7 linked regions of the Rattus norvegicus genome follow. The protein of the gene in region 1 purifies or fractionates together with the protein of each later gene. This does not show direct contact. Links are inferred from orthologs where the notes say so. Each region holds a gene or a part of one and is shown in the gene's direction. Other genes may lie near its edges. The genes, in order: Wdr77, Gar1, Lsm4, Clns1a, Ctdp1, Coprs and Sirt7.

Region 1 (3,500 bases):
TGCCCACCCTCTGACAACACTGTTTTCTGTCTCACTGAGACTTTGCTGACCACAGTGCATGGGGTACCCAGAGTAAGGGTTAGTTTCCATGTGTAGTTTACTGTGCAAACAGCTGGGCAAAGGGTCAGGGTTATTATTTTTATGTCTTGTGCTTTTAGTTGTACAGGAGATGGCAGGAGATGGATGGGTAGATGTAGGTGTAGGCTCAGGGGTGAGGACATACATGACTGCTCTGGCAGTCTTTAAGAAACTCAGTGAAAGTGCTCCCAGGATTTACTGACTTCTTTTGGAAGAAGCTTCTTCTAGGTTGTGACCATTGTTCCAAATCTCCCTTTTTTCCCTTCCAGGCTGCAATGCCTCTGGCTACCTCCCTACCTCCCTGGCTTGGCATCCTCAGCAGAGTGAAATCTTTGTCTTTGGTAAGGCAGCATGACGTATCGACTCTGGGAATGGGGCGGATACCTTGGAGTACATGCTCCTGTCAGCACACTTGGGCACTGCATGGATTATGTCGGTTTTACCTAGCTTTGGAGACCATCATTTTTTCCTAATAGGTTTGCTTCATTGTTTCAGCTCCTTTATTCTGGGCATGGTTAGAAATCAGTGAGCTGCATAGCAAGTGCTTGCTGTTAGGGAACTATGTTCTGCTGTGGTGTGACTACACATGGCAAGAGTTTGTAGTTAATGTAATAACTTTATCCAGTAATTCACAGCCACATAGTGACTGACTGATTCTATATCACAAAGGAAACTGTTGTCTACATCTTGAGAAACTAGGATTCATTCAAATCTCCCATCTGACTGACATCAGTGTCTATGGCTTTTTTTTTTTTTTTTTTTTTTTTTCCCTTCAGCCAAGACAGGGTCTGTATGTAGATGTAGTTTGGACTGTCCTAGAACGTGATAGGCCCAGTTGGCCTTGAACTCTGAGATCCTTCTGCTTCTGCCTCTCATCACATACTAGGATTAAAGGTGTGTGCTACTTAGCCCAAATCATAAATTCTTAACCACTGTGACATGCTCTCTTTCTTCTACAGGTGATGAGAATGGATCTGTCTCCCTTGTGGACACCAAGAATGCAAGCTGCACCCTCAGCTCAGCTGTGCACTCGCAGTGTGTCACTAGACTGGTGTTCTCTCCACACAGGTACTGTTTGTTACCAGGAACCTGGAAGGGATGGGTGGGGACTGTAATGAAAGAGTAGGAGTGGAGTGATACAGGGATGTGTCTATTTGGCAAAGCGTTAGCTGCTTACATTGGACCTCAGATAGGGCAGTACTCTAACCTGGTTTTCCTAAGCTTGTCCAGATAGTCTTTATTTGGTTTGTGTAGTTTGGAAAGACCTAAGATGTAATCTCACTCCTGCTCAGAGCCTGTGGGTGGGTAATTGCTAATGTAGGGAGGACCCTTGGGCTGGTTGGTTTCCGTGAGCACTGGCTCTGTTCCATCTTCCTTGGATGTAATGGTGGTAAGATCTGAACCCAAAGTGGGCATCAGACTGCCCTCTCCCCGGCTCACTTTACAGTGGGGTTGGGGCTGGCCCTGTTAGATTTCGGTTGTAGAACCTATGGGCATTATCTTCTCTTCCCTTTGTGTCCTCTCCTAGTGTTCCCTTCCTGGCCTCTCTCAGTGAAGACTGTTCACTTGCTGTGCTGGATTCAAGCTTTTCTGAGGTGTAAGTTTGAAGTAGAATCCTGTGGTCGGGAATCAGGGATCAAGACCAGTAGGCAAGCAAGTCTGTTTTCTCTTCAGGAACATGCATGTAGAATTCTTCCTTTGTTGGGTCTGGAGAAATGGCTCAGCAGTTTAGAATACCTTTGTTTCTAACATCTGCATCAGTCTGTACATAGCTGTTTGTAACTCCAGATCCAATGCATATGATACCTGTGTGCGTCCGCACTCAGTTGCACACCCACCCACATGGAGATTATTAAAAATAAGTATAAATACAAGAAAATTCTTCATCTTTGTCTGCAGAGATATCCCCTCCCCCAAGTCGTCTCTGTTTGCAGCTGTGTGTCTAAGACCGAGTGCTGGAAGCTGTCTGATTGTAGGCTGTTTACCAAGCGCTCCAGCTTCATGCAGGGCGCCACTTCTGAGAAGTGGAACTTGCTGTAAAGCACTGGATGGAAGGCCTGGGTGTGTCCCTCTGCCATAATTTCCTGTTGACTGTGGGCATTATTGCTTCCGATTCTGTCCACCATTTCTTCACCTAAGAAAGTAGACTGGATTGGATAATCTAACATCCACTGGCCTGGTGATGGGGCTGTGTAGATGGTGAAATGTTTCAAAAAATGTGTCATAAGTGTATGTTATTAGTTTTTTTTTTAATTTTTTTTTTTAATCGTTCCTCCTGGGTTTTCATCTTTTCTCTTACCACACCACATTTTCCCCTCTTGTTCTAGGTTTAGAAGTCGAGCCCACAGAGACTTTGTGAGAGATGCTACATGGTCTCCACTCAATCACTCCCTTCTTACCACAGTTGGCTGGGACCATCAGGTCATCCACCATGTTGTGCCGTTAGAGCCTCTCCCAGCCCCTGGACCTGACAGTGTTGTGGAGTAGAATGGATTGCAGAAGAAAAGAGCCTTCTGTCTGCAAGTGTCGACTCGCTTGCCCCTGCCTTCCATTTGTGAGAGAGAGAGCACAGGAGCCTTGTAGAGCATGATTACTCCCTAGTCCCGTGCAGTAACTAGTCAGATTCTCAGCCTGAGGGAGGCTGCATCCCATAGTGACTTGGAGGAAAAAGCTTCCTTTATAAATGGATGTATGTGTGAGTACACGTGTGAGTGCAGTGTATAGTTTGGAGTGGAGAAAATTATCCTTCAGCTTTCCCAAAGCAATGCTCTTTACCCCCGACAAAATGACCAGAGGATTTTATGCTTCCCATGTCTGGGGGCTGACTATGTTGTTAGGGATATGGAGTGTGGGTATCCCTGGATGCTTGGGAATACTTCACATTACTCAGAGGTGCGTAACTTATTTTTATATAGAGTTTAATTCACTATATGGGAATTACTTCCCATATACAAAAGTCTAGCCAGACTACCTTGAGAAGACAGAACAGTTTTGTACGAATGCCTGTTAAATGGAATCAAATCCACTTTCTGGGTGAATCAATTTGGCCCTTGGAGTTCGCGCTCGCTCACCCTGTGTTCCTTCTTTTGTGTTGTGTATGAGAGATGAGTGCTTTCCTGTCCTAGATTTCACAGTTTTAGGGATGATGGAGTACTTAAATTAAAAGTGTTTCAGTGAAGCGAGAAGATTGACATGGATTGTTACAGAGAAATCTGTCATTGTCATTTTTCCCACCTAAAAATTCCCTGAGGACTGATCTGGGTACTTTGCTCTGGAGAGCTGAAGTCTGAGCGCTGTATATTTGGACTCCTAAGATTGAAGATCCGGCATCAGAGAAACTGTCAAAAATACTGGAAGGTGAAATAAAGACTTATCCTTTCATCTTTCCTCCAAAGCTTATTTATTACCTGCTTTGCTTAGGT
Region 2 (4,144 bases), about 25 Mb from region 1:
AATTCTAGCATGATGGGGCAGAGGGATGGCATGTGCACACACTGATTACTAATCATAGACTCTAGACATACTGCCAAGGGAAAGTGCAGGGCTATGGTGGGCATGGGCTGAGTATGAGACTGTACAAGACAGCCATTTTATTAAGTTCACTATATCACCAAATGCAGCACAGACGCAAGAAGTTAAGTCAACAGGTATTTATTTAGTCTGGAGCCCAGAATGGGAGATGTTGCCTGCTGTGATGTTTGAGCTTCTGAATTCTTATGAGTGATTTGGAGTGACAATGAAAAAAGGTAGCAGTGTTAAAAGGCTGTACTCAGCTGATGACAATGCAAAGGTACTTCACAGGAATCACGAGAAATCCATCAGGTTTGATTAGAGACTGCCACAAACCTAGAATAGAGGTAGGGATAGTGCTGATTTATGTATATATATATATATACATATATACACACATATATATGATGTATGTATAATTGTATATGTAATAATTATTACACATCTTATAATTTAATATTTTATAATTGCATGTTATATTTTACTAGATATTATATATGACTGGATATATATATCCAGTTACATTTATATTTAAAGTACATTTGTATAATTTTTTTATATGTGGGACTAGTGTGTACTTCTTCAAGAAGTTTATAGTTTAGGGTAAATGGCATACTGGAATTCTTAATTTACAGAGATCTTTCAAAAATTTATTCACAATAACCCTCAGATACGGGGATCATTCTCTACTTTCTTTCAAGTAAAAAGTGGTATTGTCAAATGCCAAGAGATGTTTCAGACAATACAGATACAAAAGAAGTCAACCAAATTTAAGAACTAGAGGTCACTTCTTACGAGCGAAGTTTTAGTGATGTAAGGAAACCGATGTCAGAGATGAGAGTGTTAAGGAGGCAGGAGGTGAGGTGTAATCTATAGAACACATTCTCTAGGTGTTCAAAGCGCACTTGATGAACGAATGAATACACTCAAACAATAGTAAAAGATGGTTGCCTTTCTGTCAGCTCAAATACAAACACACACCCTTTCCTAATTAATAACAGGACACAAAAGCAATAAAAAGAGAAGGCAACTGGACCCTGGGCGGAGCACGGCTCGAGTGGCCACACTCCGTGGAGCAGAGTCAAGTCGGGACCTTCTCGCAACCCAAGAAGTGACAGAGCCTGGCGAGTGGCGCTAACTGCACCCAACACGCCTCACCGACCAAAGGCCTGACCAGCGATTAGAGCCGAAGAACCCAAACCACCCCTGTCTCCAAGGGCAACGCGGCACCACACTTCCGGAAGCGTCGAGTACGGAAGGCGCTGCTATTTTGCATCATTTCCGCCACCCCTAGCGAGGTGGACCTTGCGCGGGTGAGGTGGGGGTCACGCTGGGTGCTATTGTTTCTCTTCCGGTGCTGTATGCTCTCTTCGGGAAGGCATTAGGACCGTTGCGTCTAAGTAGTGACAGCCTCTTCCTGCAAACCAGCCCTTCCAATATCTAGTCTGGTAAAATTGTACCGTACGGTGGCCGAGGAGGTTTAAGCGCGCCGGAAGTATCGCTCCGCGCGCGCGCCCAGCTGAGCTAGAGACGCACGTGGCGCGGTGAGTGCGGCGGAGGGCAAGATTGTGGGAAGCAGCGGGTTGGGATAGGGTGGCGAGGCATGGGCCGTGGGGCTGGGACGAAGACACCCCTCTCTCCGCGCTCGCCACTGGCTATGTGGGCGAGTGGCGGGCGGCGTTCACTGCTGTCCTCTTTTTGGTGTTTCGAGCGAGGCGGAGGGGAAATAGATAAATGATCAGCCCGCACTGACTGGAAGGAGCCGGCCGTCTATTTCACCAGGCCGGAGAGAGCATGTCTTTCCGAGGCGGAGGTCGCGGAGGCTTTAATCGCGGTGGTGGAGGTGGAGGCTTCAATCGTGGCGGCGGCAGCAACAACCACTTCCGAGGGGGCGGCGGCGGTGGTGGCGGCGGCGGCAATTTCAGGGGCGGCGGCCGAGGAGGATTTGGACGAGGGGGCGGTCGTGGAGGCTTCAATAAATTCCAAGATCAAGGGCCTCCAGAACGAGTCGTCTGTAAGTCGTCTTCAAAGCTTAACCTCCTTTGCAATGGGAATAGAGTCCGGTTTATGTTATTCACACGTTTGATAATAAGTCTCCAAAAGGCAAGTCGGGTTCCCTGACAGTCATTTCATAGCATATAAGGAACCGATCATGAGAACGGAAATGCAGCGTGGAGGTGAACTTGAATTGGGACAGAGAAGTAGAGACTTAGACAATATTGAGTACCTAGGCATTCTAAAGGGCAGAAAACCATTCAGGATTAAGTGTGATTCCCTAATGACATAATTAAAACACAAACCTAAGCTTTTAGCTTCCATAGCTCATGTTTTCAGTTACCAAAAAGCAGGGGAAATGAAACCTGCTTGGGAGAAGGCAAAAGAAAAGAAATGCCCAACTAAAGTAATTTTGAGTAATTATGGGAGAGGTGGATTGGAAGTCAGCAAACGTAAGGGGGAAGTGGTGGATCTGTATGCAGGATGAATTTGCTGAACAAAATGACTAAAGTCAAGGGGACGTGTAGTAAGCCATATATATAAGGTGTTGAGATCTGTGTTTGAAAAGGTGACAGGAGGAAAAGGGGAAAGGTAGGAGATAGGTCCAACCTTTTTAATACTCTGCGTCACATTGACATCACAAAATTCACACTCCACATAACCATGCAGCCTAGTTAGCACACACCGTGCACACACACAGTCCCTTGCACAACCCTTCAAAAACATGTTGTAAATAAGTGTACCGTTTTGTGTTGGGCCACATTCACAGTTGTCCTGTGTTCCATGCAGCCTGAAGGCAGTGCATTGAACACATGGATGGAGAAGAGATTTCAAAAGACACATGACACATAGAACTTGACTAATACTAAGAAAGGTTCTAGCTGTTGTTAAGGGTAGGGAGTTACTTTGTAGGTATATGGTATTAATTCTGGGTTACAGAAACAGGTGTACTTTGAGTTCGCATACTTCCTGAGGAAGGATAGTCATTGGTGAAGAGGTGGTAGTGGTGATGAGTTCTGAGGAAGGAAGAAGCAATCAACAAAACCAGAGTGGTTCACAGTTTGAGGCTGGGTAAAGAAGGGAAAATCAGTGGATTTAATGCAGTCATAACAGCCTTGACAGGGTAACTGTTGTACATTGAATGAGTGCTGTTGTAAGCACTGTGTTTGTTGTTCCTGTTGCTTAAGTATCAGGTGTGGCTGCCGTTAGAGGTGACTAGCCTCATTTTACAGTGTACAGAGAGAAGGGGGTCTCTTAGGTCCCATGGTAATGACATGCTAACTTAGGACTACAGGGTTGGTGACTGAGCTGTGCTGGAGAGGGCATCAGATGCGGGGAAAGACAAGCGGGGAACTCCAGCAGTTGGTCAGTATTTGAAGTGGTTCTGTTTTCTTGTGCTGTTTCAGTATTAGGAGAGTTCATGCATCCCTGTGAAGATGACATCGTTTGTAAATGTACCACAGAAGAAAACAAGGTGCCTTACTTCAATGCTCCTGTTTATTTAGAAAACAAAGAACAAATCGGGAAAGTGGATGAAATATTTGGACAACTTAGAGATTTTGTATCCTTTCTGATTGTATGAGCCAGTGATCTTGTTAAGGAATTACTGTCCCTTTTCCTCCCCAGCCAGTTAAATATCAAAGTAAGCTAGCAAAGTTACAGATGGGTCACACGGAGAATCTGCAGGGGAGTGCATTCATTCATCCGTATTTATATGAAGTGATGCACCAAGGAGAGAGGACTGTACTTTGCGTTTTGGAAGTGGTAGCCATTTGGATGAATGCCACTGGGTTGTATTGGCTCTTCTGTTGCTTTACACATAATGAGTCCCTGGTAGCATTAGGGTTCGAGGTATTGATTGTGAGTTTTGGGGTTTGTTTTTTACTTTTAAAGAAATACCAATTTCTTTTGGAAATTTCTTTCTTCTACCTAGGCATTCTTTTTTAAAATGGTTAAACTCAAAAGTTTAATCTTTTTGCATTTTTATTTCTTACTTGTTCCTTAATGTAATTGATAGTATTTTTCAGTTAAATTGTCAGAAAACATGAAGGCATCTTCTTTTAAAAAGCTACAGAAGGTGAGTCAAACTTAA
Region 3 (2,920 bases), on another chromosome or scaffold:
CCTTCCCACCTGGGACCCGGGGGACTCAAATCATCCCTTTTGGACGCACAGGTACAGGGTGTGGAGCAGAAATGCCAGGCAGGTGTGCAGCCCTGGGCATTCAGAAGGCTGTGGCCAGCATAGGCTGTATGACAAGGCTCTGCCTCAGAAAACCTACCAGGTTGCTACCTCCACACATTGGACTGTGCCCCCTTCTGTGTTTCTAGGTGACAGGAGTTGTGGAGAAATGACCAAAATGGTCCGGGATGTCCAGGTGGCCAACACCTGTAGAATGGGATGATGCGAGGTCACACAGCCGTGTGCATTGGGTAGCCATGCCCAGGTTGTCCCTGAATTGGGGGACACTCCTCACACTGACATTTGCCTTCCAGCTTCCCTTGTCGCTGCTGAAGACAGCCCAGAATCACCCCATGGTAAGCAAGGCTACTCTGGGCCACCTCCCTTCATGTGCCCTCACCCTAGTCCTTTGCAGTTTACGCTTGAAGCCTGGTACGATGGCTCAGTGGGTAGAGGTGCCTGCTGCCAAGCTGCAGGACCTGAATTCAATCCCCAGGACTCACACGATGGTGGAAGGGAGTCATGGCTTCCCTCTCTGCACACAGACAGAAATGCAATACAAAGTAAAATGTCTAAGGAAAATCTTTTAAAAGTAGTGTCAGGAAGAAACTGGGGCACAGTGCAACCCATGTATTCCCTGTCCCATCCCAAGAGTCCCCAGCACAGACAGGTCACCTGTCATCCCAGCTGCCTGGGAGGCTGCAGCAGGAGGATTGCCACTGGTTGAACCATTTTTTTTTTTTTGAAAAGGAGCAGCAGTATGGCTGCGTAGCCAAGACTTGGCCCTGAATGCTACGGGACTGGAGGAACCACAGGAGCGCTGCCTCTGATAGGCAGTGTGTCCCTAGACTTCACACAGCCAGAGCCTAGCCTTACACCTGTCAGCACCCATGTCAAGTTCACCCCAAGCCCTGGCTGCTTGTGTCCTGTGACCACCTACCCTCTGCACCTGCCTTTGCATCTTGTGAACATTTCTGAGTGAGGAGCGTGTGGCTGGCTCCGTGTCACTCAGAGGTTTTGAGTCATCCTTTTCTTGGCTGTGTAATATTCTTCCTATAGGTGACCAGACTGGGCTTGCCCATTGTCCCCTCACTATCCTCCTGTCACAGCCACCAGAGTCCTGGAATCACAGGTGTGTGTCGCCATGCCTACCTAGTGTGGAGTTTTAATTGTCTCTGTCCACACACTAGGTAGGGAACCTGGGTGGTGCCTGCTCATCACAGCACTTGCAGGTGAATGACAGCCCAGCCTCAAAGGTTGATTAGTTGCACAGAAAGCTGTAGTTTGGGATGTGAAGCCGGGTGTGTTTGAGCCCTGGCTGCTTGGCCTAGGCTGACGGGATCTCCTGCAGCTGGTGGAGCTGAAGAATGGGGAGACCTACAACGGGCACCTGGTGAGCTGCGACAACTGGATGAACATCAACCTTCGAGAAGTGATCTGCACATCGAGGGTGAGTGGTTACGCTGGGAAGGTGCATGGCTGGCCTGGATGGACTGTGCCTGCCTGTGACACTTCCCCTCTCCACAGGACGGTGACAAGTTCTGGAGGATGCCCGAGTGCTACATCCGAGGCAGCACCATCAAGTACCTGCGTATCCCGGATGAGATCATTGACATGGTGAGGGAAGAGGCCGCCAAGGGCCGAGGGCGAGGAGGACCGCAGCAGCAGAAGCAGCAGAAAGGCCGAGGCATGGGTGGCGCTGGCAGAGGTAGGGTCACGATGAGGGCGAGGTGGGGAAGGGAGGGATACCTGGACACTCTCCTCTCTGCACCCTGTACAGTCTCCATGGAGGACATAGTGGTGTGGGCTCCTGTTGGGCTGGGGAGGGGAGGGCTCTTTTCCCAGGTTGAGTATAACCTGGCATCTCCCACAGGCCCCTTGCACAGTGGCGTAGGGCATAGAAGGGAAGATCCTTGTCCCTGCCCAGGGAAGCTGGTGTCTACTCTACCTCTTCTGTCCTGTGCAGGTGTGTTTGGTGGCCGGGGCCGGGGTGGCATCCCTGGTGCAGGCCGAGGCCAGCCGGAGAAGAAGCCAGGGCGGCAGGCAGGCAAGCAGTGAGCAGTCCCAGCCTGAACTGAGTCCAGGAAGGTGGGTGAGGAGACCTCCGGGCGCCTTTGCGTGAAGCCCCACTTGGCGTCTGATCCAGTGAAATCCCTGACTGGCCACTTACTCAGTTTCTGGAAGGTTCCCAGTCTGAGTTGACTGTTAAGCCTTGGATGTCCTTTGAAGGGCTGGCTTCTTCCAGGCTTGTTTGAGTTTCATGTTGGAGCTGCAGGCTCCGCACATGGTGGTTTACCTGTCCTTTCCCAGCCCCACCCCCTACGTTTTCTGTTGGAAAAAATAAAGGCAAACACCACAGAAGGAGCCAGCCATCCCTCTGGTTACACGGACCCGACTTACAGTCCTAATCCCTGAGCACGGTTGTCTCACCAGAGGAAGCTGTTCCCTGGGTGTGGGGCTGTCTGTGTGTCCTGCCAGCAGAGGTGAGAGTGCAGCAGACAACACTTTTAGAGGGCAGAGAGGTAGGAGAGCCAGAAGTTTTAGGCCAGCTGGGGCTACAAAGCCCTTAAAAAGCCAAGCCTGTGATGGCTGACCCTCGGGGACAGGCAAGAGTGTGGGAGGTTAAGGCCACGGCTGGCAGGCTGCTCCAGCAAGCAGAACAGCTCTGACCCTGAGTAAACCCAGCACACTGCAGGGAAAGTGCACCTAGGGAGAACACACCATGGGACGTGTGTGAGTGCAAGTGAGAGAGAGACTGTGTGCGTGTGTGTGTGTGTGTGTGTCCATCTGTGTGTGTCCATCTGTGTGTGTCCCCAGCACATGCATACCTGGTTCCCAGAGGGAGCAGAAGATGCTGTTGGAA
Region 4 (3,500 bases), on another chromosome or scaffold:
CAACTTTAATCCCAGCACTGGGGGCAGAGGCAGAGGCAGGCTGAGTTCAAGGACAGCCAGGGCTATGTAGAGAGACATTGGCTCAAAGAAAAAATTCATGGGCAACCTGGGCAGCTGAGGCCAACATGGGCTAAATATTAAAACTATCTTAAAATAAGGGGGAATGGGGATGTGGGGGTTGGGGGAGCAGGGGAGGAGAAAGTGGAAAGGATATAGAATATAAGTGTGTTCTGTAGAACCACATCCCCATTCCCTTCTATTATTTCTTGTATGGGAGTACACTGTAACTGTCTTCAGACACACCAGAAGAGGGCATCAGATCCTATTACAGGGAGCTGTGAACCACCATGTGGTTGCTGGGAATTGAACTCAGGACTCGATGCTCTTAACCGCTGAGCCATGTCTCCAGCCCCTGTGGCTTCCCTGTGGCTTTCTCTCAAAGCTGGTAATAAATGGGAACGTTACCTTGTCTCCTAAGGCAATAACAATTTTTTGAACTGTGATTGAAATCACAGCTGCTTTGTGTGTACATCATTTAATGTATGATGAATGGAAACGTTGATTACCAAGCGTCTGTTGCATGCTTACCTACTGAGAACTGTGCTAACATTTTTGAGGAATGTTAAATGAAGGGATGGAAGTAGGAGACTGACAAACAGGATCTGTTAACATACATGTGTGCATGTGTGTTACTGAGCTGCAGTGTGAAACAGAAGAGGTTCCTGTGGAAAAGAGGGCTCATGGAGTTATTTGGAACTTGTCTAGATGAAAAGATCTCACAGCAAAGAAGGTAACGGAATAAGCATGAAAGACAGACAGGCAGGTAAGGGCCGAAAGCTGTTAAGAGCACACGCTGCTCTTTGGGAAGACCAGAGCTAAATTGCCAGTGACCACATTGGAGTTCACAGCCTCCAGCTCCAGTAACTCCAGCTCCAGAGGATCTGATGCTCTCCTCTGACCTCACCAGTACCCACATATATGTGCGCATGGAGGAAAAATAAACACAGGTGACTTGAAAAAAACCTGCCTCTCAAATTGTTTGAACTTATAGCTAGAGGAAAAGAAATCATAGAAGAGAAAATTCAATCCTTGTTGCTAAATTTTCTTATTTTAAGAATATTTCTAATATTGTCAATAAACTTAAATTTCTATGCATAAAACTGTCTGAGTTGAACCTTTATAAACTTTGGGGTATTAAGTTAGGATTTAATTTCTAAAAATAATCTGCGTAAAACATGTTTTTCAGCCGCCTGTCTTGGCTAGATGGTTCTGGATTAGGATTCTCACTGGAGTACCCCACCATTAGTTTACATGCGGTATCCAGGGACCCAAATGCTTATCCTCAAGAACATCTGTATGTCATGGTGAATGCCAGATTTGGAGGTATGTATGCTATAACTCAATCCAGTGCTTCCTCTGATAGTAAAGTGCATTTTAGAGGGCAGTGTTTGTTTGTTTGTGATGAGGTCTTCAGGTTGCTCAGGTTGGCATTGCACTCCTGGGCTTGAGTAGAATAACAGTCCTCATTCTCCTAGATGCTGACACTTTAGTTGTGTGCTTGGTGCTATCTGAAAAACAGTCTTTGACAATACTCAATGTAAAAATTAAGCCATTGGCCCACATTGGATAATAACATATTAAGCCAAGTTAATTACCTAAAACACAAGCGCAAGGCCCTGGGTTCGGTTCCCAGCTCCAAAAAAAAAAAAAAAAAAAAAATCTAAAACAATTTGACTACTTGAATTTCTTCTAACAGGCATATATTTACACTTAGAAGTCTTCTCTTAATATGGTTATATTCCAGGGTTGGGGATTTAGCTCAGTGGTAGAGCGCTTGCCTAGAAAGCACAAGGCCCTGGGTTTGGTCCTCAGCTCCGAAAAAAAGAAAGAAAAAAAAATATGGTTATATTCCTATTTTTTAACTGCTTATTCCTTCTCCTTCTAAAGGCATTTCAGAGATGTGAACCAGTATATTCTATCTTTCAAAAATTTAAGATAGATCGTATATATCTATTTTATCTATTTTATTTATTTTGAAGATGTGCATTAGGGAGAGGGTTGAGGGTTGTTGCCCGAATTTATGTCTGTGTGCTACTGTGTGGGACTGAGGCCAGAAGGGGGTGAATATTCCCCTAGAACTGGAGTTACAGCCTATGTGCATGTGTCTGTGTGTGAACATATGCTACCTGTGTGGATGCCTGTAGAGGACAGAAGAGGATTGGATCCCTTGGAGCTTGAGTTACTTCAAGAACCGAGCTTCTAGTAGCTACTTTTCCACTGCTGTGCCAGAGCACCAGCAGCTGAGGAAAAGGCTGTTCTGGGGGTTAGAGTCAGTGGTGGTGGAGCAAAGGCATGAAGCAGAACCAGTCCCACCCCCAGTAAGCAAGCTGAGCCTTACTTGCCAGGCAAGTTATTTTCTCATGAGTCTCAGTTTTCTTAAAAACTCAATCTCTAGAGGATTATGTTAGTCTCACTTTCCACGTGGCCTCGTCTCCTAAAGATTCTGTTAACCCCAGTCGTACCTCTGGCCGGTGACTAAACCTTTAACGGTAAAGTCGGTTGGAAGCCTGGATGCTGCTGTTCTTTGTTTGTGCTGATGCTCAAACCCAGGGCCTCCTTCCTGTACTGGGTAAGGGTTGCACCTGGCGTACCAACCATTTCCTAAATTTCTTACCATCCACAGCCTTAAGGGAGATTCCTGAGACAATAAGCAATTGTTAACAGTGGTTATTTCCAGGGTATAGATTCAGTTCAGTATAACCATGGAGATCTGGGGTTGGGTTCTCAGCATCCACATTAAAACTGCACCTTTGCCCCAGCAGTGCAGGAACACAGATGGATAGGCAGATCCCAGGGGTCTGCTGTCCAGCCAATCTCACCAAAACAGTAAGTCCCAGGTTCAGGAAGAGACCCTGTTTCCAAAAAAAAATGGCGATCAAAGGCCTGGGCTCAACTTAGGGCTTTTTTATACATGTATATAAGCGAGCATACCAGTCACACCTGCATCTCTATCTCCCTCCCTCCTTCCCTCCTCTTTTCCTCCTACCGCCCATGCCCCACCCCCACCCCCAACACACCGGTGGCTATTTCTGGGAAGAGGATCTAGATGCTAGGCTCTGTCCTCTGCACTTTGAAATATTGTTACTCTAGACTGTGTTATTCTTACACAGTTACTACTGTACTGTAGTTACAATTACTGTTGTATGTGTAGTATGGTGACACATTGCTTTTTAAAATGCATCAACAAAGTTTGGAGCTTGTGGCTAATTCAGTGATTTAGAATTTTTCAGTATGTGTATTATTCTGCTGAATAATTAAAGGTACGTTTTTAAACAACATGTCATTGGAAACAGCACAGAAAAGGTATTATCAGTGGCCAGAGTTTTTTCTTTTGCTTGTCTATTTTTGTGCTATTGTACACTGAACTTGTACAAATCAGTACTACACTGGTGGATGCCTCTTGTTTACTGTGTCAACCCTACTGGATGGAGAGACCCCAC
Region 5 (4,300 bases), on another chromosome or scaffold:
AATCCTTACTTGGTGTCTTTGGGATGGTTAGGGATAAAACACTAAGCCTGAACGCAACTGGGGAGGGAAAGGGTCTATTTTGCTTACACTTCCACATGGCTGCCTGTCTTAGTTAAGGTAACTATTGCTACACGTGTGCATATATAGGGTTAGAGTTGGTGAAACAGAAAGATTGGGGAGGGAAGGGTTTATTTGGCATATATATCCACATTTAATGAAGTCAGGACAGGAACCAGGGCCAGGAGCTGATGCAGAGGCCACGGAGGGTCTTGTTTACTGTCTTGTTTCTCCTGGCTAACTCAGTCGGCCATCTTAGAACTCAGGACCACCAGCCCAGGCGTGGCACCTGAGCCCTCTCCCTAGAAAACCAGGCACCTTGGACGCTATAGGCTACAGTTTAGGCAATTCATTGAAACAACCCGTAACAACAAAGGCCTGTTGGATTTGCAGAAGACGCAGTCACGAGTATACGCATCTTGATACAAACATGTTCACACCTCAGGTCATCCACTCAAGTTTTATGAGAATGCTATTTTAAAGGTTTCAGGAATTGCGAAATCCCCAGTCAGAGTGTCTCTTGGCTCCCATTTGTAGGCTTGATATGTGCATCAAGCAGGATCTGATGAGTAATTAGTGCACAGCAGCCCCAGGAGGAGCGAGCAGGCGAGGTGGACATCCTTAATCCACAGTCTAATGCTAGAAACTCCACTCTGAAAAGCGCCGCAGTTGCAAGCAGCCACTGCGCACACTTCTCTGCTGCGTAGCCGGCTAAAGAAGGATCGAGTCTAGGCCGCGACCTGCGCTGGAACTCGGTCTCGTTAAGTCCAGCATTCGCAGTGCTTGACGGGAGGATGAGCAAGACCCGGACCCAAAGTCTCCAGGCGTACGGACCGCTCTGCGGAGGGAGACCTATAGTTTCTCCATGAAAACCTCGCAGTGCACGACGGGAAAGGTGGGACCGAGTTTCGTGATGCATGCTGGGACTGGTAGTCTCTCTTGACGTCAGGACTACAATGTACTATCCAATACAGCGGTCCGCGCCGAATGCCGGCGTCAGAAGACTCCTGTGGTTGGAACTCGCAGTGTACGACGGGAGTTGCCATAGACACGCACTGTATGCCGGAACTGGTAGTCTTGATGCGTCAGGACTAGCAGTGTGTGACAAAAGTCTTGTGACAGCGGTCCGCGTGACATGGCTGTAGTCTCCATACCACGGACTGGCGCCCCGTAGGTGTGGACCAGCGCCTCTTGGCTCCGCGAGGGCCGAGTGTTTATCCTTATCTTGAGCGCACGCAGTCACGCGGATGCACGTCGCCTGTCCCGCCCTCCATGACGCAGCACGCCCCCCGGAAGTGGGTGCGCAGCGAGCGGCGGGTGAAGCCGGTGTCGGAGCGGGAACAGCAGTGTCGCCGCCGCCCGCGGTGGGCGCCGCGCCCTGAGCGCCCGGTGTTTTCGTTTCTCACCTCTGTTGTGACCGTCCGTGCCGCTCGCTGGGTCACGATGGAAGCGCCGCCCTTGGCCGGCGTTCCCACCGAGTGCACTCCGGCGGTGGCCGGGGCAGAGGTGCGCTGCCCGGGCCCCGCGCCGCTGCGTCTGCTGGAGTGGAAGGTGACGGCGGGCGCGACCGTGCGCATTGGCTCGGTGCTGGCAGTGTACGAAGCCGCAGTCTCCGCGCAGCCCGCAGGGCCAGCCCCGGCTCGCGCGGCCTCTGGGGGCTGCGTGCGCGCCTCGCGGACAGAGCGCAGGCTCAGGTCGGAGCGCGCCGGCGTGGTCCGTGAACTGTGTGCGCAGCCAGGCCAGGTGGTGGCCCCTGGGTGAGTGTACTGAGAAAAGGGACACCCGGGCTCTCAGGATGTCGGGGGTGTGGGGTGGATTTCTGGCTACAGTCACAGACTGGGCGTGAAAGCTACGCTAAGGGGCTGCGGGGTGAGACCATAGAAAGAATTGTCACCATTAGTGATTTTGCCAGCCCTGAGATATTTTGAGTTTGAAAACTTCTCGGTGACCCAAGGTTACTACTCCCTTTGGGATATCTTTTGCCTTCGTCCCTCTTCTGTAATTGGTGGACTCCACCTTTGTAAAGTGAAGGCAACTTGGGTGGCTGTGGCCGCGGGACTACTCAGGCAGGTTCCAGGCTCGTTACAGAAATAGAAGCTGTCGGGCGTGTGTGTTTCTACAAACGCTTATAAAACTTTGTGAAACGCCGTTGTAAAAACCCGGTGGTTCTGCAACATAGCCACCGAGAGGGCAGAACCCAGACTGTATCGGGTGATGTACTTGGTCCTCGAAGTCCTGTGAGGACTCTTTAGTTGTCAAACTTGTGTCCTGTCTCTGTAGGATCTTGGTTTGGTTCGGTTCGATCTGCCACTGTCCAGTTTTATGTTCGAGTTTTGCCAGGGTTGTGTTTTGAACCTAAATTAACACGTGGGCATGTGGGTCACGTGGCTGTGATTGTTTTGATTGCTAAGAACAAAAACTACTGGGAGAAGTGAATGCTCCTGCCTACTGTGGGTTGGGCTGAGAACTTCTCTTTGAAGACTATTCTTTCTGCTCCTTTTCTGATGCCCACTGCTCACTTCTTGGACTGGTCAAGTCTCTTCTTTATTGAGTATTTCCTGTCTAGCATTCTCCACAAGGAAAATTTCTATTTTCCACTGATCTTGTCATAGACCGAGAACCCCGCCTGGCTGTCTTCCTGGTCAACTCCCCCTAGTGCTTCTTGGAGATACTGCCTGGGTTCTTGGTTTGTGGACCCTATCCGTACCCCTGCCCACTGGTTTGCTGGATTGCACAACCACCAGGAAAACTTGCTTCTTTGGGACTGACTCTGAGGGACCTGTCTGTCTGGCTTCCTCTGGAAGTGATTCTTGGGATCCTGGGTGACTCACAGTGGCTACCAGTCCAGTGGTGTCAAGTGAGTTCCTGCTTCTGGGACAGTCACTAGCAGCATCACTTTATTTAAAATGCTTCCCTCCCTTTTCCTGTTATGTGCATTTGTGGACAGCATCTTGTCAGCATTCTGGGGAGGAGTGTAGTGAGTTGACATGTGTGCTTCCTGTACTGTTCCTGTATACCTGAAGGTACGTGGGTGACAGGAAGAAGCAAGTTCCAAGGCCTGGACTTAGCTCCATTTGTATTCCCTGTGTCAGTCCTGATAGTTTCTCTGTAATAAATGTCAAGGGCGTTCATAGGTGTCTGGGCGTGGACCCAGGGCTCATAAGAAGGGTAGTACTTTCTTCCCCAGCCACTGGCTCTTCCGGACACCAATTAGGCCTCCCCCAAAATGCCTGTCATACTTTTGCGGAACAAAGTTTAAAAAGAAATCACTGGATTGAGTCACTTTGTACAAAGATCACCATGCACAGAATTGTCTTCACAAGGCACAGCCTGAAGAGCAGCATCCCACTGAGCAGATCTGTGCAGGGCAGGCAGCGGTCGGTCAACAGAGTTCATCATCCATGGTCCCTACAGGCTTTCTGTAGCACACAGTTACACCTAAGTAGGCCTTTCCCCCACAACTTCGCTATACAGGCCAAGTGTCCTTGATCTTACATTCAAAATCTAAAATATTCCAAGGTCTAAAACTAGGGCATAGATGCTCTTGTGTTTTCTAGTGCTTGGCATGTGAGTCCTGTGCAAACACGCCACACTCCAAATAGTCCTGAAACAGCAGCACTTCTGGTCTCCAGCATTTCGAATGAGGGATTTGAATATTAGGAAGTCTTTCTAAAAGGCATCCGTATGTCTCTATTTGAGAAAACAGAGAGTAGTAGATACCATTGGATCCTGGTGTTGAATTGGACTTGCCATGACTGGTAGACCTTGGTCAGCAAAGACCCGTCTGGCTCATACACACCGCGTACGCTGAGCCAAAGCCTTCCGTTTTTAGATTTCTGTGTCTGGCTTTGGTGCAGCCTCATCCAGCATCTGTTCCATCACAGAACTTCTTCACCCCAGGTGGGGGCAGGAAGGGAGGGTGTCAGGAAGGAGCAACCAAGCCTGATAGCCCTAGAAGTTTGCTTCTTTCTGAGCATGTCTCAGAATCACACTCAAGACTACTTTATAATGAACTCATCTGAGCAGTCCTGGAAGTTTGCTCATGATCTAAGTTCTGTTCGTCTAGCAGCACCACTTCTGTCAGTGCTGGATTGCAGATTCATATTCTTAACATCACATGGGAGAGCCAACATTTACTGACATTTGCATTAAACCTTTGTAGAGTGATTATTGTATGGTGGTTCTTAACCTCCACCCACAACATGCACTTTATATAGACTTATGATTGGTGGATTCAGAACTG
Region 6 (4,129 bases), on another chromosome or scaffold:
CGTTGTTTTCCTCCGTTGGAAGCTTGCATAGCATCTTCTGGAATCATGAAAGCTGATCCCTCAGGGAGGAGGCTTTCAGCTAAGTTCCAGTCAGGGGCCTCTGGACCCTGCGTTTAAGTATATGGTGTCTTCAACCGTAGGAACTTACTTTTCACCTATGAAGGTCAGCCAAGGGCAATAGCAAGAGCCTATAATATATTGATAGTCGTCTCTTGGACAACCTTCGCCAGCAACTTAAAGGGGTGTATTCACGCCTGGTCTTGGGATTTTTGTTAGACGGTTGATGGCTCTTAAAGAAGCACTGTTAGCCCAGGTGGGAAATTTTCATCTCTAGTATTTATGTCTATGTATACGCCAACTTATATGTGTAGTAGACATGTGTTGTTGCTGGAGTTTAGGCTGTTGTGGGGGAGCGGAGGCAGTAAAGGCTGTCTCTGCAGCTGGGTTGTTCACACACACACATACACACACACACACACACACACACACACACACACACACACACACACACACACACACTGCTATCTCCAGCTAGCCGCTGACTTATGTTTTTGAGGTATTAGGGGGAAACCAGACTGTACACTGTAGGACTTTGACCACTAAAGACAGCTTTGTCAGTTTCTATCACCCAACGGTTTTGAACTGCGGGAAGGGGGTTGGGGGAGGGGGTGTTAACAACCCGTGTCCGAAGTTAGGTTAGTTACCCGTACTCAATATGCCAGTAAAAATAGCCAGATTAATCATGGAAAGACGAAAATGGAAAACGGAGAATTATAACGGAGAATTATTCAACATAGTCACATTACTGACTTGGAGCACTGGCTTTGACTCCAAATTCGATGACACACCACGTTTTGTGGTGGCACGTAGTTTGTTTTGATCCTTTATCCGGGTTCCTAGCGGATTGGCTTTAAAGACTATCCTTAAATCAAAGCAGCAATTCTCCAGGCTGCTGAGTTACTCATTAAGAGATGCTGTAGTGCAGGTGCAGAGGGCGATCTGGAAAACCGTGTGATGGGGAAGAGCGAAAGTGATGGAGCCCAGAGGCTGTGACTGTGTGACAGCCGGGTGGGCTCTATATGCTCTCGGGTCATTTCACACTGCGGTTGGGGAGTCCCGGGTGCCTAGGAACGCTCAGTGGCCAGTCTGGCCTAAGGCTCTTCTAAACCAGCGCTTGAGGTCAGATAGGGCTGGAAAGCCTGCGGTCCGGAACAACGCAGGTGGGCGTGTCGTCCGGCGCTGCCCCTGCGCCGCCCCGCCCCCTCGGTCGCAGCGCCGCGCCGATTGGCTCGCCCGCAGCCTGTCAGCCGTCACGTGTCGGAGCGTCCCGGGCGCCTGGCTGTGGGCGGCCCGGCATGGACCCTCAGGCAGCCACCGGTCCGGGGCCGGGCGAGCCGAGTGCATGGGAGGCCCCCAGCGCGGAGGTGAGCGCCACGGGGTGGGGGATGCGGGCACCCGCGACCACCCGGGCTGGAAGTCGAGGGGCTCGAGCGCTCCGGAGAGACCGCTCACCCGGGAAACGCCGGGGCCGCGCGAGTGCGCGCAGAGCCTGTCCGGTAACGGCGGTGGGCGCGGAAACGCGCGTGGACCCGAGCCCTAGGCTGTGGCTGGCGCGGGAGGGAGAGAACACCGGGGCTTCTCGGGAGCTCCTGCGGGAGTGAATGCAAAGAACGCGGAGCTGGCCGCCCCGAGCTGGTTCCAGCAGCAGGGGGCCGGGTCAGGCGGGAGCGGCGAGGAAACATCTTTTTTTTTAACCTTACCTTGAGGACCTCTGGCCATTGATAGGGATGTGCCGCTGATGTCACCCGTGCTTTTCCCCATTTGACAAAACGAAAGAGCCCGTCGTGTTACGGGGTTTCCAGAAACTTGTTTTCAAGTGCCCGCCAATGCAGCCTTTTCCCACGACCTGCCCTTATTGCGTCTACCTCTCCAGTGACTTCTTGACTGTAGGCATCCTTTTTACCAGAAGCCACGCCTGTACCTGGCACAACGTATATGCTAATTGGGTGTATGAGTGGAATGCTTACTTGGACATCAGTACTTGTACCATCAGATGGTACTTGAAGCGACAGCACCAATAGATTTGCAAAGAAAATTACTTTTGCAAAATAGAAAGTCAGGGCGGAGCTGGAAAGGATGTTTTTGGGTGAGAAGGTAGGCCCAGCAAAGGTCTGGATATGAGAAAGTACGGGGCAAATGGCCTTGGAGCTTGGGTCGGAGGGCAGGCCTTTTTCAGGAAGAGGACTGTGTTCAGCAAGTTGAGGAACGTGAGAGGCAATATGGATGCCATCGCCAGTCTGTGATGGCAGCAGAGGGCCTGTGAAGGTTTTGAGTGGAGGAGTGATTACACTTGCTAAGAGTGAGCAGGAGTAGAGAGATGGGCATAGGTTCACATAAGACGTTCAGCTCCTAGGGGGGCAACAGTGGCCCATGGTTATCACTGACTACAAGAGATGAATTGAGCTGTTAAAGCTCAGGAGTGACTAGATAATGAACGCTAATTTGGGTGAGTGCTAAGTACAGTTTACATGCAGGATGAAGGGTGCTTAAGGCCGGAGAGACAACCTTGGTGGTCTTACAGAGTTCGGCTTAGTTCTCCGCACCCACAACAGATGTCTCAGCCCTCTGCAACTCCCTCTCCAGGGATCCTCCTGGTAGATTCGCACATACAATTATATACAAATAAAGTAAATATATAAATAAATAAATAAGTGGATTAAAGTCAAAGAAATGTTACCTCCTTGAAGTCTTAACAGGTGGTTTTGTTATTGTTGTTGGCTTTATTTTATTGTAATTTTTTTTTTTTTGAGATAGGGTCTCATGTAGCCTAGGATCTGAGCTCACTTTGTGGCCAAGAATGATCTTAAATTTCTGACCCTTCTGCCCCTCCCTCCTAGATGCTGGGATTCTGAGTATGACCCACCTGTAGTATGTTATGTAGGGTTGGAAAGTCAGTGTGGAGCTTTGTGCACACAGGGCAAACACTCTCCCACTGAGCTCTGTCTCCAAGCCATAGTGGATGTTTTATGAATGTCCCTTCATCATAGGACCCCTCCCAGGACATAACAACCATTTCTGTTTCTAGAGGTCACACCCTGAATGAATGGCAGGGCTAAGACTGAATGAACTCTGCCTGACCATCCACGCTCTGGACATTACGGGTTCCACTGCAGAGAGATCTTGGGGGGAATAAAGTTTGGGGAACTTTGAAGTAACAGGGCATAACATTCCTGGTTGGCAGTGGGGATTAGGTATTCCTTCCAGTGTTTAGAACTCAGGCGGCTTCCCCCATGGACCACTGCGGGCATGGCTTTGTTAGGAGTTGTTAGACATTGAGACAAAGAACTGAAAAAGGCAAAGGTTTGCAGAGAAGTTGCAGGATCGGGAAACAGCAGTCAATCCTAGCCAAGAAGAAGAGAGATGAAGTTAGGGCAGTTGAAGTGTTCATAAACTTAGAGGAAAGAGTTTCCACAGACCTGAGGTTACAAACTGAGTCCAGGGAGCTGTCCCATCTAGCCTCAGGGTCTGTGAGCTTGGGGAAGTCCTGCTGCCCAGACTTCTGAAGAGGGCCCAGGGGTGAGAGCAAAGCCAGCATCTGTCAGTTGGCCACTGCAGGAGGGCACACCCAGTGGTCAGAGCGGAGAAGTGCTGCTGGGTGATGCCTTGCGCAGGGCAGTATGGGAGGGAGGGTTTGGGGCTTCAGAGCAGTGACACGCCCCACATACCCAGTTTCCTGGTGATTATTTCTTCTTCCACAGGCTGGTCTTGCCACAGCTGACCTCTCTGGTGGGGAGACAGAGACTGAGCTAGACGTGGACCGACTAGGCAAGTAGACGGTGGAGACTGGGGTGTCCCCTGGAAGAGATGGAGGGAAACAGCACGGTCCCTCTGTCTTGTCTGTCTTCTCGTGTTGGCCAGCCCTCTTTGCCCATTGTCTGAGTGGAACTGTTGGTTTGCAAGCTTCCAGGAGGTACTGGATGCCCGTGGATCCAAACCACCCCATTTCACTGGGAGGAACAGCTTGAGACTATGAAAAGCATCTGGTGTGTGAAGCTAGGAAAAGTCTCCGTTACACATCCAGGTTGAGTTAGAAGATCTGTAGTGATGCTACCCAGGATACTCGCCACCG
Region 7 (4,000 bases), on another chromosome or scaffold:
GCTACAGCCCACTTGGAGATGGTGAGGCCACTTCCCTGCTACCTCCCTCTCTGGTGTGGCCACTTGGCCAAAGCTCCCATCCACAGCTGGGGTGTCTGAGCCACAGCCTGCTACACTGTTTCCGCTCTGGGATCTTCTGAGTTACTCTTTTAGGCTGTGGTTTGGTGAAAGGAACCAACACATTAACGATCCCCCCCCCCCCCAAAGCCACTGAGTAATTCTTGGCATGTTTTCTAAGTGCTGTTGGCTGCCTGGTTTGGGAGCAGTTGTGGAGAGGACAGACTTAGTACCACACAGAGGCATGGGTGTGCGAGCTGCTCACAGCTTCCTTGTTTCTGGCATGTGTCCTGGGTGCGTGCTATACCTCCCGGGCCAGCTGCACACCTATGTACTCTGCCCCTGAGAGGTAGAGTGTTCAGGAAGTGTCCCTGATAGATTCCCTGTTCTCTGTGGCCCCAGTTGGGCTTTTGGCTCCTCCAGCAACTTCATGCCCCAACCCTACCTTTCCTCCCATTTCTTTCTGTCTGCTAGTCCCTGAAGCCTTTAACCAAATGGGAATGGGTACAGAAAGCCTTCTCCTGGCAACTTAGGGCAACAGGACAAGGGCTATTGTGTGTCCAGCTCTGTTGGTCTCCTGGTGCTGAGAGGTGTGTCCAAGCAGAGTTGATCAGCCCCTGCCTGCCCTGCAGGGCTGAAGCCAGGGGGAGGTTAGTAGAGAGTACCCTAAATGGGGTGAGGGTCCTTAAACATCCAAGTGAGGAGGGGCTGTTGTGTGGCTGCAAGGTGAGACCCTGTCTCCAGCACCTGGGTAGGGCCATCGGGGATCTGGCTGCAAGGTGAGGTCTGGACTTGGCATCAGTGCAGAGCGATCAAGTCACCTGGCCTCAGCAGGCAGCAGCCTTGGTGCCCACCCGTGCCCTGCGCAGTATTTATTGCTAAATTATTGTCCAGGAGGGGCGGCACTGGGCCTGGCCCCCCGGGTATTTATTGCTGTACATAGTGTATGTTTGTGATATATAAGGTTTTCTTTATTTTGTATATGATCAATAAACGCCTTTTAAAGAGATCTGGTGGTGTTTCTTTGAAACGTGAAGGAGCAAGGGAAAGACCAGGATAGGAAGGGCGAGCCGGAAGGGGTGGGAAAGGCAGGGCGCGCGCATGCGTCTTTGTAGCTGCCGGATGAGGCGGAAGCGGAAGCCGGAAGCGCAGTCCAGGGAGCGATGGCAGCCGGTGGCGGTCTGAGCCGCTCGGAGCGCAAAGCGGCTGAGCGGGTCCGGAGGTTGCGGGAGGAGCAGCAGCGGGAGCGCCTCCGTCAGGTAAGCCACTGCCATGCCCGCGCTCGCGCCGGCACGCGCAGTCGCTCACCTACTGCTCGTCCGTAGGTGTCACGCATCCTGAGGAAGGCGGCTGCAGAGCGCAGCGCGGAGGAGGGCCGGCTTCTAGCTGAGAGTGAGGATCTGGTGACCGAGCTTCAGGGTCGGAGCCGGCGGCGTGAGGGCCTCAAGCGCCGCCAGGAGGAGGCGAGTCGCGGGCAGCGGGTGCTGGGCTGTTGGCTGTAGGCTATAGCCTGTAGCCTGTAGGCGGTGGGCTGCGGCCGGAATAACCAGCTCTGGCTCCTGTCAGGTGTGTGATGACCCAGAGGAGTTGCGGAGGAAGGTCCGCGAACTAGCCGGAGCTGTCCGAAGTGCCAGACACTTGGTTGTCTACACAGGCGCTGGGATCAGCACGGTAAGTGACGGCCTGCACATTGCTTCAGGTGTGGGGCGCCCCCTTCTGGGGCACAAACTTGGGCTGTTCAGTGCTGGAGTTCAAATGCTCTCTCACCTTTGAAATAACTTCAAGGTGTCCTTTCTCGGAGATCCGGAACAAAACAATTCTAGATTTAAGATTTAACTAAGGCAAAGTGACCAAGGTGGCACATGCCTTTAATCCCAGCACTTGGGAGACAGGATCTTTGTAAGTTCAAGACCAGCCTGGTCTGCATAGGGAATTCCAGAACAGTCAGGGGCTAAAAGATAAGTCAATCAATAAATAATAATTTAGCTAAGTCAAAGAGTTTCAGAATGCTTAATTTATGAAAGCCAGTCAAACACGGAGCGGTAGTAGGATGTAGTAACCAAATACTTGCTAATGGCTTCTCACTTAAAGTGGAGACATTGATCCATGTGAATAAATGAAAAACCAGTGTCGAGTCCCAAATCTCTAATCTCAGGACTCAGGAGGTGAAGCCTGGTAGGGGAGGAAGCTCAAGGTCAAATGCTTGAGGCCAGCCTGGCTCAAAGCTTGATGCAAGACCCTGTCTAAAAAAAAGAAAGAAAGAAAGAAAGAAAGAAAGACAGAGTCACACAGTACAACAGGTACAAACGAGAAATGCTGTGCTCCTGACTCTGAGAGATTTCCTGGGCTGAGGGATGACTACCTTTGAACGTGTGACTGTATCAGTACAATCATGTGTGAGTGTGGAATGAATGTTTGACCCAGGTGAACAGTTTCTATTCTGAAGAAGCCCTAAAGTGGTCTGGTGAGATGGCTCAGTGGGTAACATGCTTGCTGTGCAAGCATGAGGACCTGAGTTTGAACTCTTAGAATGCATATGAAGAAGCTAAGCAATACCACACCCCTGTAACCGCAGAACGGGAAGATAAGCTGAGAACCCCTTGAAGCCTGCTGGCTAGGCAGCCTGGCCAAATCCATGAGCTCCACGTGTAGTGGAAGGTGGGGGTGGGGGCTGTGAGATGGCTCCCTGAATAACTAGGCACTTGCTACCAAGCCTGGTGGAGTTTGGTCCTCAGAGCTCACACAGGAGAGGACTGACTACAAGGAGCCTTCTGACTTTTCCTTGTGCTCATGACCCTTGCACCTCCCTCCCAACAAATGTGTTAAAAAAAAAAAAAGTAAGATGGGCATTGAGATTCACACACCAACACATGTAACATGTGGGTCTACACACATGTGCACAAATGCAAAGACATATACAAACAGACAAAAGAAGACCTCTGTTACAAAGGTATAGTCCAAAACCTACTACAGGCTCAGACATAAAATCCTTAAAGCTGGGAAACCCTTTGGTGGCCTTGCTGCTGGAGTGGCATCTTGGGCTCTTGCAGGGAAATGTGAGGGCAGGAAGCATGACAGACAGACAGCAATGACCCAGGAGCAAAATGAGGAACATTTGCTGCTCCAGCTCAGCCATCTGGGGCATAAGCATTCCAGGCCTAGCCCTTCATAGCCCTGCGATGATCCAGCTTTGGCTTTACAGCAGTGACTCTACAAACCTGGTGGTTAACTAAGTTCTGCTCGCAGCTCGTAAATGTGACCTAAGCACCATTTGAGGTCCTTCCCTCTGTTGGAATTACCTGCCAGGGCAGGCGCTTCTCTGAGCTTAAGCAGCAGTGTATACAGGGCTTTCCCAGCCAGGATCCAAAGACTCCCGGCTCCTAGATTGTTTTGTTTGTTTGTTTGTCGTGGGAAATTACTTAACGCTTACCTGGTTTTATGTTAGGTTGGAATGAAAACCTCAGAGCTGCAGGATATAAGTGGACAGAGGACCCTCTCCTGGGGTCACTATTTGCTAAATAGTGACCTGAACTCTAAAACCTGTTCCTTCGGACACTGATGAGCCTAAACAGTTTCCCCCTTCTGTGTTCAAGACAGATGTGGACACAGCTGCTCAGTGCTAGCAAGGACCCTGAAGTAGGGTAGGGTTCTTTGGTATTCGAAGGGTGAGCTGGGGCTGGAGAGATGGCTCAGCGGCTAAGAGCACTGACTGCTCTTCCAGAGGTCCTGAGTTCAAATCTCAGCAACCACATGGTGGCTCACAAACATCTGTAATGAGATTCAATGCCCTCTTCTGGTGTGTCTGAAGACAGCAACAGTTTACTCACATATATACATAATCTTTAAAAAAAAAAAAAAGGGAAAGGTAAGGTGGCCCAGACAGGACAAGAAAGTCACTTGGATGGAAGGAAAGAGCCATAGTGGGGTACAACCCATTTGGGGA

The links.
Region 2: the proteins of Wdr77 (region 1) and Gar1 purify together in Homo sapiens (affinity purification with mass spectrometry; 3 studies listed by BioGRID and IntAct, with this or other methods). This does not show direct contact. The link is inferred for Rattus norvegicus from reciprocal best matches to the Homo sapiens genes WDR77 and GAR1.
Region 3: the proteins of Wdr77 (region 1) and Lsm4 purify together in Homo sapiens (affinity purification with mass spectrometry; 3 studies listed by BioGRID and IntAct, with this or other methods). This does not show direct contact. The link is inferred for Rattus norvegicus from reciprocal best matches to the Homo sapiens genes WDR77 and LSM4.
Region 4: the proteins of Wdr77 (region 1) and Clns1a purify together in Homo sapiens (affinity purification with mass spectrometry; 6 studies listed by BioGRID and IntAct, with this or other methods). This does not show direct contact. The link is inferred for Rattus norvegicus from reciprocal best matches to the Homo sapiens genes WDR77 and CLNS1A.
Region 5: the proteins of Wdr77 (region 1) and Ctdp1 fractionate together in Homo sapiens (co-fractionation; 3 studies listed by BioGRID and IntAct, with this or other methods). This does not show direct contact. The link is inferred for Rattus norvegicus from reciprocal best matches to the Homo sapiens genes WDR77 and CTDP1.
Region 6: the proteins of Wdr77 (region 1) and Coprs purify together in Homo sapiens (affinity purification with mass spectrometry; 3 studies listed by BioGRID and IntAct, with this or other methods). This does not show direct contact. The link is inferred for Rattus norvegicus from reciprocal best matches to the Homo sapiens genes WDR77 and COPRS.
Region 7: the proteins of Wdr77 (region 1) and Sirt7 purify together in Homo sapiens (affinity purification with mass spectrometry; 3 studies listed by BioGRID, with this or other methods). This does not show direct contact. The link is inferred for Rattus norvegicus from reciprocal best matches to the Homo sapiens genes WDR77 and SIRT7.

Annotation. Positions count from the first base shown.
Region 1 is NC_086020.1:196,130,382-196,133,881, forward strand, and holds the end of Wdr77 (methylosome protein WDR77), read left to right. Parts: intron 1-347; coding exon 348-419; intron 420-1,037; coding exon 1,038-1,146; intron 1,147-1,606; coding exon 1,607-1,675; intron 1,676-2,405; coding exon 2,406-2,565; 3' UTR 2,566-3,472; downstream 3,473-3,500. UniProt on the Homo sapiens protein: Non-catalytic component of the methylosome complex, composed of PRMT5, WDR77 and CLNS1A, which modifies specific arginines to dimethylarginines in several spliceosomal Sm proteins and histones.
Region 2 is NC_086020.1:221,053,950-221,058,093, reverse strand, and holds the start of Gar1 (H/ACA ribonucleoprotein complex subunit 1), read left to right. Parts: upstream 1-1,344; 5' UTR 1,345-1,601; intron 1,602-1,839; 5' UTR 1,840-1,851; coding exon 1,852-2,071; intron 2,072-3,458; coding exon 3,459-3,613; intron 3,614-4,069; coding exon 4,070-4,129; intron 4,130-4,144. UniProt on the Homo sapiens protein: Required for ribosome biogenesis and telomere maintenance. Part of the H/ACA small nucleolar ribonucleoprotein (H/ACA snoRNP) complex, which catalyzes pseudouridylation of rRNA.
Region 3 is NC_086034.1:18,788,967-18,791,886, reverse strand, and holds the end of Lsm4 (U6 snRNA-associated Sm-like protein LSm4), read left to right. Parts: intron 1-371; coding exon 372-413; intron 414-807; coding exon of another isoform or gene 808-887; exon of another isoform or gene 888-1,381; intron 1,382-1,388; exon of another isoform or gene 1,389-1,408; coding exon 1,409-1,507; intron 1,508-1,584; coding exon 1,585-1,765; intron 1,766-2,023; coding exon 2,024-2,115; 3' UTR 2,116-2,420; downstream 2,421-2,920. UniProt on the Homo sapiens protein: Plays a role in pre-mRNA splicing as component of the U4/U6-U5 tri-snRNP complex that is involved in spliceosome assembly, and as component of the precatalytic spliceosome (spliceosome B complex).
Region 4 is NC_086019.1:161,437,169-161,440,668, forward strand, and holds part of Clns1a (methylosome subunit pICln), read left to right. Parts: intron 1-1,246; coding exon 1,247-1,383; intron 1,384-1,390; exon of another isoform or gene 1,391-3,500. UniProt on the Homo sapiens protein: Involved in both the assembly of spliceosomal snRNPs and the methylation of Sm proteins.
Region 5 is NC_086036.1:76,187,409-76,191,708, reverse strand, and holds the start of Ctdp1 (RNA polymerase II subunit A C-terminal domain phosphatase), read left to right. Parts: upstream 1-1,500; coding exon 1,501-1,814; intron 1,815-4,300. UniProt on the Homo sapiens protein: Processively dephosphorylates 'Ser-2' and 'Ser-5' of the heptad repeats YSPTSPS in the C-terminal domain of the largest RNA polymerase II subunit. This promotes the activity of RNA polymerase II.
Region 6 is NC_086034.1:82,422,151-82,426,279, forward strand, and holds the start of Coprs (coordinator of PRMT5 and differentiation stimulator), read left to right. Parts: upstream 1-1,329; 5' UTR 1,330-1,355; coding exon 1,356-1,424; intron 1,425-3,758; coding exon 3,759-3,825; coding exon of another isoform or gene 3,826-3,829; intron 3,830-4,129. UniProt on the Homo sapiens protein: Histone-binding protein required for histone H4 methyltransferase activity of PRMT5.
Region 7 is NC_086028.1:106,398,699-106,402,698, reverse strand, and holds the start of Sirt7 (NAD-dependent protein deacetylase sirtuin-7), read left to right. Parts: upstream 1-1,200; 5' UTR 1,201-1,220; coding exon 1,221-1,316; intron 1,317-1,382; coding exon 1,383-1,520; intron 1,521-1,623; coding exon 1,624-1,728; intron 1,729-4,000. UniProt on the Homo sapiens protein: NAD-dependent protein-lysine deacylase that can act both as a deacetylase or deacylase (desuccinylase, depropionylase, deglutarylase and dedecanoylase), depending on the context. Specifically mediates deacetylation of histone H3 at 'Lys-18' (H3K18Ac).